Coturnix japonica: one gene and its partners. The protein of the gene in region 3 interacts with the protein of the main gene of each other region in a biochemical or structural test. Links are inferred from orthologs where the notes say so. Each region holds a gene or a part of one and is shown on either strand. Other genes may lie near its edges. The genes, in order: PDGFC, PDGFA and PDGFRA.

Region 1 (3,650 bases), about 40 Mb from region 3:
AGAATTTGCTGTAATGTAAGTAATTTGTTAGTACATTTTCTGAGTTGAACTGCAGGTAAAAATGGAATGGAAAAGAGCTGTGCAGGATAATGAGATTCAGATTCAGGAAACTATTTAAAAGGGAGGCTAAACTGGTACCTTCAGTACCAGTTAAAATCCTTCTGGACAAGAAGTGAAGTGTCAGAACTGACTCTGGAGAAATCCAAATATGGCCAAGCCAGCCAGATGTTGGCTTCTAGTAACAGATGCAGACAAATTGATCCTTGGAATAGAACATCTCTCCTATGAGGACTGGCTGAGAGAGCTGGGGCTGTTCAGCCTGGGAAAGAGAAGGCTGCGAGGTCACCTGATTGCAGCCTGTCAGTATCCAAAGGGGAGCTACAGGAAAGAAGGGAATACACTCCTTTGCAGGGTCTGTGGTGAGAAAAAAAGGGTTGAGTTTCAAGCTCAAAGTGGGGAGATTTAGGTCAGATATAAGGAAAAAAAAGTTATTTACAGTGAGGATGGGGAGGTACTGGAACAGGTTTCTAAGTGATATGGTTGATGCCCTGTCTCTGGAGACTTTCAAGGCCAGGTTGGATCAGGGCAGCCTGATGGAGCTGTGGTATCCCTGTTCCTCACAGGAGTGTTGGACTAGATGGCCTTCAGAGGTTCCTTCCAACTCTAAGTTTTCTATGATTCTATATTTTATTCTGTTCTTTGTCATATAAATTTGGTCTTGAGAAACTATCGATTACTTTTCCAACAACAATATGGATTTGTGACCTTCAAGATGGCAGAAACAGAACAGAGTCATAAATAGAATGGAGGCAACAAAAGCCCTCAGCTTTTTTACAGAAAGGAGAAAGAAGATGAAATCATTTTAGTAAGAACAAGACCTAAGAAACACGACATTACTTGTACAGAGATTATTATGATAATAATTTAACTGGCCTGTGTAGAATTGCTTTACGCAGCTAAACTCTGCAAAAGTTAAATGCTTTCATTTCCTTAACTTGTCAACTGTTTGTACTCACTTCACATAAAAAAGATACATATTCCCTTCCTTTACTTACATTGTTACTGAAGTTAAACCATATAGGAACATTTTCTTTGTCAAAAACAACAACATTTCTTTTTCAGAGGGTTGTATCTTCAAAGTTAAAAAGACTAATGTGTCCTCAAAAGTGCACATACCAGGATTTGCAAACATCCAGCTGCCTGGTATACATGCACAAATATGAGCATGATAAGATTATGAGTGGGTGAAGATTATGAGTGGCTTAATACTGCTTTTTAATTTGACTAGCGCTTTTGTATTCATCTCCTTGTTTACTTAAAATAAATGTACTCCCACTAAAATACTATTCGAGTCACAAGATTAAAAATATTTTAACTTATCTTACTTTTTGCTTTGCAAGTGGATGAATGAGTCACCCTACCTGGATTTTCTTTCACTTCACTTCACTCTGCCACATGCAAAGAAAAGAAAAAGCAAGCTAAGTTTTCATTTAAAAAGGGAGTGCACTCATCTGAGCAAACATATGCTTTATTATATTTGACATGGCCTTGACAATTACTCTCCTCAGAATTACAAAGAAGATATCTGCCCATCTGTTACGATCCATGACTCCCAAAATAAGAATAAGCTCAAAAGTAACCTCTAAGAAACCCAAACTTGAAAAAAAATAATAAATTAATAATAATAAAATAGATATGAAATATACAAACAAATGAAGATTAATTAATTAGAAAAACTGAAAGCAAGTAGCAAACATACAGAGTAGTAAAAAAAAAATAAAATCTAAAACAGAGGGAAAAAATAAAGCAAAAAAAAAACCTACTTGGAAAGGAAAAACTGGTGTGAAATACCTCCCCAGGAACACATCAAAGCAGGATATGACATTCAAATGATATTTCAAGCATGAAATGCTTTCCTAGCACTGCAAAAGAAAATCAGTAGCTAATACATTAGAGATGTGCTTTTATAAATATATTGATATGCAGGTGAAACATTTTTGCAAAACCTGAGCAATACTCTTGTTCCATCCCCCAAATCTTCTTTATGATATTTTGTAAGTTAAAGCAAAAGTAACTTACTTGCAAATGTCATCTTCTGGGTCCTCAAGCCCAAATCTTTCATCAAAGGTAAGCTGTATCCACACATTTTCATCTACTGCTACTAATCTCCACACTAGCACAGTATTGCGTGGGTATGTGTGTGGGAACTTGGGGCTGTGAATACTTCCATTAGAAGTCACAGTTATTATCTTCTCATGCTGAGGATCCTGCACTCCTGTAGTAAAGAGAGAAAACAAACACATCAATACTGTATTTCTTCCCCTCTTCCTAAAGTGTATAACATACATAGAAAAAGTCCCTTTGTTCTGTTTGCTTTTTAATTCATTTTGTCAGGAAAATCTATTCAGTAAAAGCAGATTAAGAGATAAAGTTTGGTTTGCAAAAACAACAAAATTAATCAAACCCAAGCTCCAACTGTTGGTCAGAAAACAACACATGTTCAAGTGGAGGTAAGAGAAATGTGACTGTATGGTTCCTTCAACTCCGACACATAAATGCAAGACTGGAGCCCTCACAGAAGTCCAGCAGCCAAATCATGCAGGCTGCTGATGGCTCCAGTTCATTGTTACTGGGAAGTGCAGAGAAATCACTTGAAGGTACAAGGGCAGGGCTGCTCACACCACACACCTACCACACAAAAGGGCTGGTATAAATTTGCCTCTCATTAGAAGAGACTTCTACATTTACTGGGTCCAGTGACAAGGATTATGATGGCTGCAACCATGCTGAGGGATGTACTGGCACAACATTAGCCTGACACAGGAGTGTGTCAGGGATAAGCTATTTGGAAGTATACAAGTATATGAAATAAGACATTTACTGACAATTTCCTACAGAGGGCATCCCTCAGAATTCTTCAGCTTTTTTAGACTACAAGATACATGTAAAAATAAATGTTTTATGTGGCAGTAAATGAACTCAGAAGAAATACACTGACTACATTTGACTTTAAAGCACACAGAAGCACTAAAACAGTTTCTTTGGTGATGAATTCACAAGTGTGAGGAATTGCCAAAAGGAAAGGACTCCTTTGGTGATTGGCCACCGTGACTGTCAGGGACACAACTCTCTTCACAATAACTCAAACAACCTCATTGCCAAGTGCCCAGCATTCCCAGGAATTCATATTCAGCAGCTGGAATCAGTCTGTATGGAAGACTGAGCTGCAAACAGGAGGCACGGATCTAAGTTGAATATTTTTCAACATCATGACAGAAAATGATGAGATCTCTAAATGACAAAATTTAATTCCATAAGCACATCAAAGGAAAAAAAAAATAAAAATCTTCATGCTATAGCACAAGACTTCTACTATCTTTGACCTTTTCTAAAAATCTGTATATAGTCAAGTTTGACGCTGCACTCAGTAAACCGTAGCAATCCTCAGTTACCTAATTAATAACCCTAGTAACTAAATACATGTATAGTTTTGTACTGGGGAGTAATTCACTTTATTTTCTTTTTGGCAATTAGTTTTGTCAGTTAGTTACTTCATTTTTGTTTGTTATATAAGCAGCATGGTGATGAAAATACATTTGAAACTATGTAAAAAGTCTGTGCTTCAGTCTACAATGAAAACATGCACTGTA
Region 2 (4,109 bases), on a different chromosome or scaffold from region 3:
ACTTGCTGGAGTATGTAATTCTGATTGTTGAGTCCAATCAGTACATGCCATAAAAGAGACATACAGCCACTGCACAGGCCCTCACCAAACCAGCCCTTCCCTAAATGCAACGACAGCCCTAAAGAAATGCACTTATTTCAGAAAGACCATCTCACCAACAGCAGGGAAAACACAGCTGATCTGCTAAGCCAAGCCCATATTACAGACAGTAAACAGGCCCAATCCTGTTAGCTGAAGAAAACACGGTAATTCCAATGTTGGATTAGTCACTCTGATAACCCCTCCATAGGCATTACTCACGGCAGCAAAGACCATGCCCAGAAAGCATACAGGCAGGTAGGAAGGAGCAGAGACTGCCTATGAAGATCCAGCCCTGTCTGCGTAGCTCAGCGTGCGTGCAAACAGAGCAGGCAGAGGCTGAAAGGCCGGATGTTTTATTTTTTAATATTGTTTTGAGTTCATGTCTTAAAGCATTACCATTTTGCACTGAAATAGTGAAATATGTATGCCTCGTTTCTCTAATGGTTTCTAAATTGACACATCGCATGGAAACAGCAGAACGAAGCTGTAAACTCGTGGCTGACCTCTTCAGTTTTTGGTCACACATCCTCTGGTTAATATTTGCCACGAGGTAAATAATTCTTTCCTGAAATACATTTCTCTCCCCTGCTACACGCGCTGATGGATTCAGCTCCCTCCACCACTTGTCTGCTTGCCTCAGTGGAGCCCTGTGAACTTTTGCTCTCCTTGCAAGTGGTATTTAAAAATGAAGCACGGCATACCTGAAAACACAGACGTACTCTGGTAGCTACACAACACTGACTCAAATACAGCATTCCAACATCCCAGCGCTCAGCTCCAGCCCTCCTGCAGCACAGCCCTCCTCTGATTTCAGCAGTAGCACACTTGTCTGGTCCAGAGCAATGTTCAGAGGGGAGATATGCACTGCATCCCCCTCCTCTGCTGTGAAAGCTTCTTTAATTGCACTGATGATGAAGCATTGCTCTCCAAAAATACTAATGCAATGCCAACAGATCTGGTAATTACTAATTGGTCTCTATGGTAAAGTACTGCGCAAGAAAGAAATACTCCCATTTTCAGTATAATGGGAAACTCTGCTCCCTAATCACATGAAAATTGAAAGCTATGCCTCTAAGACATCTTCCAATGCTGTCCTCAACGTAGCACTACACCAAATGCGATGAGTTGCACTCTAGAAAGATCCTGCAACACTGAATGAAGGTAACTGAACCTGGCACAGCCTTTACAAAAACACACAGCTTATGGTTTAGAAAGAGATGGCCCCGTACCAACGCAAGCAAGAACTCATTCATTTCTCTCCATGTTTGCTCCTCAGAGCGATGCGGGTTTCCCTTGGGCACATCAAAGGTGTCGGGTTTGTTCTCTCACAACTGAGGCACGAAATCACCAGGAACAAAGTGCATCCAGTGAAACCAACGATAAGGCAGCCAGCAACCCTGTGCTGCTCCATCTGATTTACTGCTGCAACGATCTGTTTGAACTGCACGTTCTCACTACACCCATTTGCACGCCTAATGATGCAGAAAATAACCCCGTGCTATTTTCTTTTGGGAAAAGCGTGTTTGTCAGGGTGAGCTCCATGCACAGGTTCCTGCTCAAAATCAACGCGGACGGTTTATTTTGCTTTTAATAAAGCCCAGCGCTTGAAGAGACATTACTTCATTCATAAATATTGTTTCAAATATTTTAAATACCTCTAGGACAGTAGTTTAAAGATAACAGAGCGATGCAAGAACAGCAAACCTTACGGAAATTCTTCTCTGCTGACAGACGTTGAGCTCTGAAAACACCGCGGGTCACCGGGTCCCTCTCCACCCCGAACCCCACGAAGTTTGAACTCCCGAGCGGCCCCGTGGCCGCCGCCTCCCTCGGCAGCCCGGCTCCCCGCGCGGTGCGGAGCGGAGCGGGGCGCGGAGCGGTGCCACCCCCCCGGGGCGGCGGCGGCCGCCGGCGCGGAAGGAAGGAGGACGGGACTAATTTACCTACGGAGTCAATCTCCAGGAGGCGCTGCAAGTCGCGGATGCTGTGGATCTCGCTGTGCGCCAGCCGCTCGATCAGCTCCTGCGGGATCTCGGCCTCCTTCAAAGACACACACACACACACACACACACACACACCGCGGGTCAGAGCGCAGCTCCGCGCGGCGCTCCGCGGCCGGGGGGATGGGCACGGGGTTTCCAATAGGGCGCGGGGCGCCGCGGGGCTTTTGGACCGAGGGGGGGAAACATTCGCCCCCGGCTCCGCCGGCTGCCGGAGCGGACCCGCGGGGCTGCGCCACGGCTCAGCCGGGCACCTCGGAGCGGTTCGGCTCCGGGCTGTCGGGCTCGGTGCCCGCCGGAGCAGCGCCGCTTCTCCCATAGCCCCCCCCCGCCTCCGCTGGGAGCCGCCCGCCGAAGTTTGCCCGAACGGTCTGAAAGTTCGCGGCGACCCCGGCTCTCCCGGAGCGGGGATGGTTACCGCAGCCCCGGGGCCGGGGAAAGTTGAAGCCGCCCCGCAGCGCCGAGCGGCGCGCACTCCCCACCCCGAGGCACCTGTAGCGAAGCCCGGGGAGTAGCAACACTCCCACCCACCCCCCGGAGCTTCGCCCCCCGGGCCTCGCTCAGCTCGGGGCCCGCACCCAACCCGTGCCCGCACCGTCTCGTGCCGTTCCCGCAGCGCTGCCGGTGCCGCGGGGGCTGCGCGCTGCGCTGTGCGCCGCGGGGGCGGCCGCTGTCGGGCGGCTCCGCTCCCGCTCTGTTTGCAAATAACCGCAGCCCGTTTGTACCCGGGGGGCGTGAATCTCTCTATTATATATCCTATAAACATGCGGGTACGTATGTACATCTATATTATTATTTTTTTTTCAAGCGCAGCCAGCAGCCCCGGAGCGGAATGCACGGTCATTCCCCTCGCCGGTGGCACGCACGAAATGGCAACTTGCTTTCTGCCTCTCGGGGTTGGGGTAGGGCGGGTTCCTCCAGCCGGGCCGAGGCGCGGGGATGCCCGCGGGCCCCAGGTGGGCACAGCCGCAGCCCTTCCCCGCCCCGAGCCCCGGCTGCGGCGTCCCTCGGGCACCGAGAACGCGGCGAAGCGCTCGCACCTACCTCGCAGGAGGTAAAGGACAGGTAGCCAAAACCTATCAGCAAAACGCAAGCCCAGGTCCTCATCGCGGTCTAGTGCACTTTAGATACGGAGGGAAGGCAACGCTGATGGAGAGGAGCTGCAGGCCGGCTCCTGCCGCGCAGAAATTCAGTACCATCCCTCAGGGGAAAGGCAGCGGGGTGGCTTCGAGGGTCCTCCGCATCCAGGGTGGCTCGGGGCTGCCTCGGGGCGGCGGTGCTGGAATTACGGCGCTGCCGCTGTTTGTACGTTCCCCTCCAACGGGAGCGCGGCCGCTCTCCTTTCTGCCGCTCTCGCTCGCTCCTCTTGGCTCTTAGGACTAGACCAGCCGGTACTTCTGCATATTTGCTTAGATCAGACCAAAGTGAAACCCAAGGAGTCGATCCGGAGCGCAGCCGAAACGCCCATCACCTGTGTGGGGCGGCTCGCCCCCCTGGCGGGCGGCGCTGGGTCCCGCCTCCCCCCGCGGCCGCTCCGCGCCGGGACCGCCGGAGCTCGGGATTTGCCGGCGTCTCCCCCCGCCCCGCCGGGCCGCCCTGCACCCTCTCTCCGCTTTTCTTTTTTTTCCCTTGCGAAAAGGGCGAAAAATCAAATGACTGATACGGATGGAAACGTCTCTCTCTCTTAAGAGCGGCCCGCTCAGATGGGTGAGCTTAAAAACGGGAATTAATTAATGAATAATAGCAGCGATAAATCGGAGCAATTATTGCGAGATCTCGAGGGCTGCCTTGGTGCAGCTCCTTCCTCACTTTGCACGGGAGAGATTAAAAAAAAAAAAAAAAAAAAGGAAGAAGGAAAGAAAAATTATATATATATATATATATATATATATATATATATATAATCTGTCTCTACGCAATAAGATTTAAATCCCAAGGGGAGCGGAGACGAACTGCAACTCCGTGCTCGCAGCAGCCAGGCCTGTCTGCAGCGTGCGGCCGCCGGAGCGGCATTTAGCGCTGCGCGCT
Region 3 (3,650 bases):
CCAGTGTGTTTTTTTGAAGGAATTTCTGTCCCCTTCTTAATCCTGGCTGATGTTATGACATTGCTTGATTGCTGCTGAAATCTTTTTAGATATTACAACACTGATAAACAAAAGCCCATTGAGATGAATTATTGAGAGCTCCAAATCAAGGAATGAAGGGTAAGGAATAAGGATTAGTAATGCTATTCCTTATATTGTAGGTCATACATTTTCTTTTCCCCTTCTTTCCCACCTTCTTGTGCTTTCATCAGCTGGGTTCATCCCAAAAATATCCATGTCTTTCTTTGGTTTCTCTGGATGTCGGCTGAGGAAGTTGTCCCTGTTCTTGTGTAGATAGTTCACCAAATCACCATAAAAGCAGTATTCAGTGATTATGTAAATAGGTCCTGATGAAACAAGGCAAAATAATTCATCTTTCAAAAACGACAGCTCCCAAAGACAGCATAGAATCAAATATAGAACAAGAAGATTACTAGAAGTTAATAGATTTCAGTGTATTAAATTATGACTGTAACTACTACCAAATAACAAGTAGGCTTGTGAAATCTCGTATTTATTCATATTAAATGTTAAGGTCAATCACACTTGATATTTGTGTGATTATTAAACAGTGAATGGCAGCTCCACAGCAAGCTTCCATTTAATCAGCCATACCCACCTGATTTTGTACAAGCTCCAAGCAGGTTCACAATGTTCAGGTGGGGCCCAAGATGTGTCATTATCTTCAGTTCAGACATCAGAGCTTGTTTTTCGCTGGATCTAGCTGTAGCTGTTGAAAAAGCACACACACCACTGAGTGAGAGCAATCACTATTTTCACAATAATAATTGATCTCCCTTTGCTTGCCTCAGAAGAACATTTCTAAAATTATTTCTTGAAGAAGACTGTGTCCTTTTCTTGAAAATGGGACTTCTTCAGACTTGGAGAAGAGTCATAAGTCATAGAATCACAGAGACAGTAAGGTTGAAAAAGACCTCTAAGATCATCTAGTCAAACCATCCACTTAACATTAATTTTGCCCACTAAGCCATATCCCTATGTACCACACCTCCATGTTTCTTGAATACCTAATGAATGACCACCAGCTCTGCTAATGGAGACCTCTTCCATGGGGCAGAAGACATGAAAGGCAGGAGAAGGAAAACAAAATGTCTTGGTTGAGAAGCATTGTAAGCAACAAAAGGGCTTCAGATATCCACCAGGAAAGAGGACTTATTTAATTTATCTCAAGAGTTGACCCAATCTGTTTGCCCTTTTCCAGGGGTACACTGGATTGCTTGTGTGGCACAGAGGGACTTTGCAAGCTGCTTTTTACAGCACTAGGAAGTTCCTCGTTGCTCTTGAGCAAGTGGTACAAACCAGCTTCATCCACACTGCAGGTAGATTTGAAAGTAGATATTGAGAAGCTACTTATACACAAACAGTGCTCAAATAACCCAATGGGAACGTGCACAGACTAGAATGGAAAACGGAACAGTGATAACTTACGTTTTAGCATTTTCACAGCTACTTTCATCACTGGTTGAGAACGACTCAATCCATATGCTGTCCCTTCCACCACTTTTCCAAATGCACCAGAACCAAGGATTCGACCTGAACATGAGGAAGAGCATTATTAATTCCAGGGTGTAACAGCAATTAGCCTCATTTCCTGCTGCTGTTCCTCTTCAGAATATGAGTACACTCACTCAGAACACTGGTGTTAAAAATAATAATAGTAATAATAATAGAAATAATGTGATGTTGTTGAACAGAAAATGCAAATATATTTTAAAGAAATTAAGTACAGTTCCCAAATGAAAGCAAGCAATCATTAGAAGCACATCTATATGTGCGAGTTTGTAGGACAGGAGCTCTGAGAAACAGTGCAGTTCATATAAATATGTCCCTAATTCTGCCCTCCCACACTCACCCTTCCTAAGCATTGAAATTCCTATGTCTAAACTTGCCTCAGCCGGTATTTGACTAGAGTATAGTTGTGCCCTTCATTTCAGATATGAACTGGGCTCTCCAGCTGTGGTTTTGGGCTGTTATATTGATGCTGATACAGCTAGCAACAAGACAGGCTGAAGAGAATCAGCAGAACATTTAGAAACAGACAAGCAGGACCATCAGTAATATGAAGGAAGCTGAAATACATATTGATCATATATGAGGGAAACTCCTCTGAAGTTTAATGTACAAGTGTGTTTCATCTGTTTGAATAAATTTTATTGCAAATTTCCAAGTGCTATGATGAAACAGCTTATGTTTATACACATTTACTCTTCCCACAAATCAATTTAGACAAACAGTTTTGGTTATTATATCCTGTTTTCTATTACAGATGCAGTGTGCAGAACAATTGTGTATAGATTTAGCAGAATTCTAGAGAAGTATGAAGTGCACAAACATTATCCAAAATGCTGTAATTCATTGATTCCATATTGGACAGCAAGTTCATTAAGGCAACATTTATTCAGTAAACGAATCCCTATATGAGCTCCAGATGCCAGGACATTTTCATATTCCCAATGAGCTCTTTCATTTCATGTGTTTGTTTTTTCTAACTTCCAACATGAGGAGACTATATAGGGCTTTTTACTATGGAGATAAATGACATTCTGTCCATGATGTTCACTTGCAGTTTGAACTTTCTGCCTTTTGCACATCTGAAGGTGTTATCTGGCATGCAATGCCACATGTTTCTGTTATCCTAAGGCTACAGCCCATACTTTTGTTGTATACACTCCTTAGGAAAAAAGTTTCCAGCAAAAAAATAAATATCTACATCATTAGCAAGAAATGGTGCGTGCTGAGTTACAACTAACAAACCTCTCCAAGATCATGACAGTGTAGTTTGTCATGCACACGAAAACCATGCCGTTTCTTCTCAAGATTCCTGCGCTCCAAAGGTTATTCTTTCCAGTCATTCAGGATGTGAGAAATCTTCCCACTAAATTTCAGACTAATTCAAACAACCTGAAATTTGGCCCCTGAAATTTTTCAGCCCGAAAATCTGGGAGCCACATGGCAGGATGCAGCCCTTCAGAAAGTGATCGCGTTTGCTGATGCTCCTTGATCTTCTTGTCTTCACGAGCCAATTCCTCCCCAAACCATGAGACACACATCTCCCTCCCGTCCCTCGGCCCAGCCTGAGTGCATTCAGAGGCAGGGGGAGCACTTCCGGAGTGACAGGGAGCTATTGCTGCTATTCCCCTTTTCACCCCTCTCCACACACATTCCATCTGTTCTGCACTTGAAAATTCAGAGCCAGGTGACTGCTTACAAGTTGGAGGCATCTGTAATGCAATAGCTCCATCACTTTCTGGATGTCAAGGCCTTCAGCAGAGACCAAAATTAAATTGTGTATTTATTACTCTTAGTATAAAGGCACGACTGGGATCTGCCTGCTGGAGGACTGCTTCTCTGTGACATGAGGACCATGCAGACAGCATCATTTCCAAGCTCCTGAAGCTTCTGGAGGGACTGTACTTGGTGTGAGAGCTAATTTTAGTCCAAGCTCTGCCCAGGTCCGCAATATCTGCTGAGACCAGTGCAGAGGTGCCATGTTTCTCATCTAGAGGACATGCCTACAAATATGAAGTCCCAAACAGTTTTCTTGACCAGACTGCTCTTTGGCCAAAATTAAACTTGGATTCACCCCATAC

What was found.
Region 1: the proteins of PDGFRA (region 3) and PDGFC form a complex in vitro, tested with the Homo sapiens proteins (2 studies listed by BioGRID and IntAct, with this or other methods). The link is inferred for Coturnix japonica from reciprocal best matches to the Homo sapiens genes PDGFRA and PDGFC.
Region 2: the proteins of PDGFRA (region 3) and PDGFA form a complex in vitro, tested with the Homo sapiens proteins (2 studies listed by BioGRID). The link is inferred for Coturnix japonica from reciprocal best matches to the Homo sapiens genes PDGFRA and PDGFA.

What each region holds. Positions count from the first base shown.
Region 1 is NC_029519.1:18,797,093-18,800,742, reverse strand, and holds part of PDGFC (platelet-derived growth factor C), read right to left. Parts: intron 2,276-3,650; coding exon 2,080-2,275; intron 1-2,079. UniProt on the Homo sapiens protein: Growth factor that plays an essential role in the regulation of embryonic development, cell proliferation, cell migration, survival and chemotaxis. Potent mitogen and chemoattractant for cells of mesenchymal origin.
Region 2 is NC_029529.1:2,121,033-2,125,141, forward strand, and holds the start of PDGFA (platelet-derived growth factor subunit A), read right to left. Parts: upstream 2,848-4,109; coding exon 2,677-2,847; intron 2,122-2,676; coding exon 2,025-2,121; intron 1-2,024.
Region 3 is NC_029519.1:59,014,064-59,017,713, forward strand, and holds part of PDGFRA (platelet-derived growth factor receptor alpha), read right to left. Parts: intron 1,594-3,650; coding exon 1,489-1,593; intron 770-1,488; coding exon 659-769; intron 387-658; coding exon 233-386; intron 1-232. UniProt on the Homo sapiens protein: Tyrosine-protein kinase that acts as a cell-surface receptor for PDGFA, PDGFB and PDGFC and plays an essential role in the regulation of embryonic development, cell proliferation, survival and chemotaxis.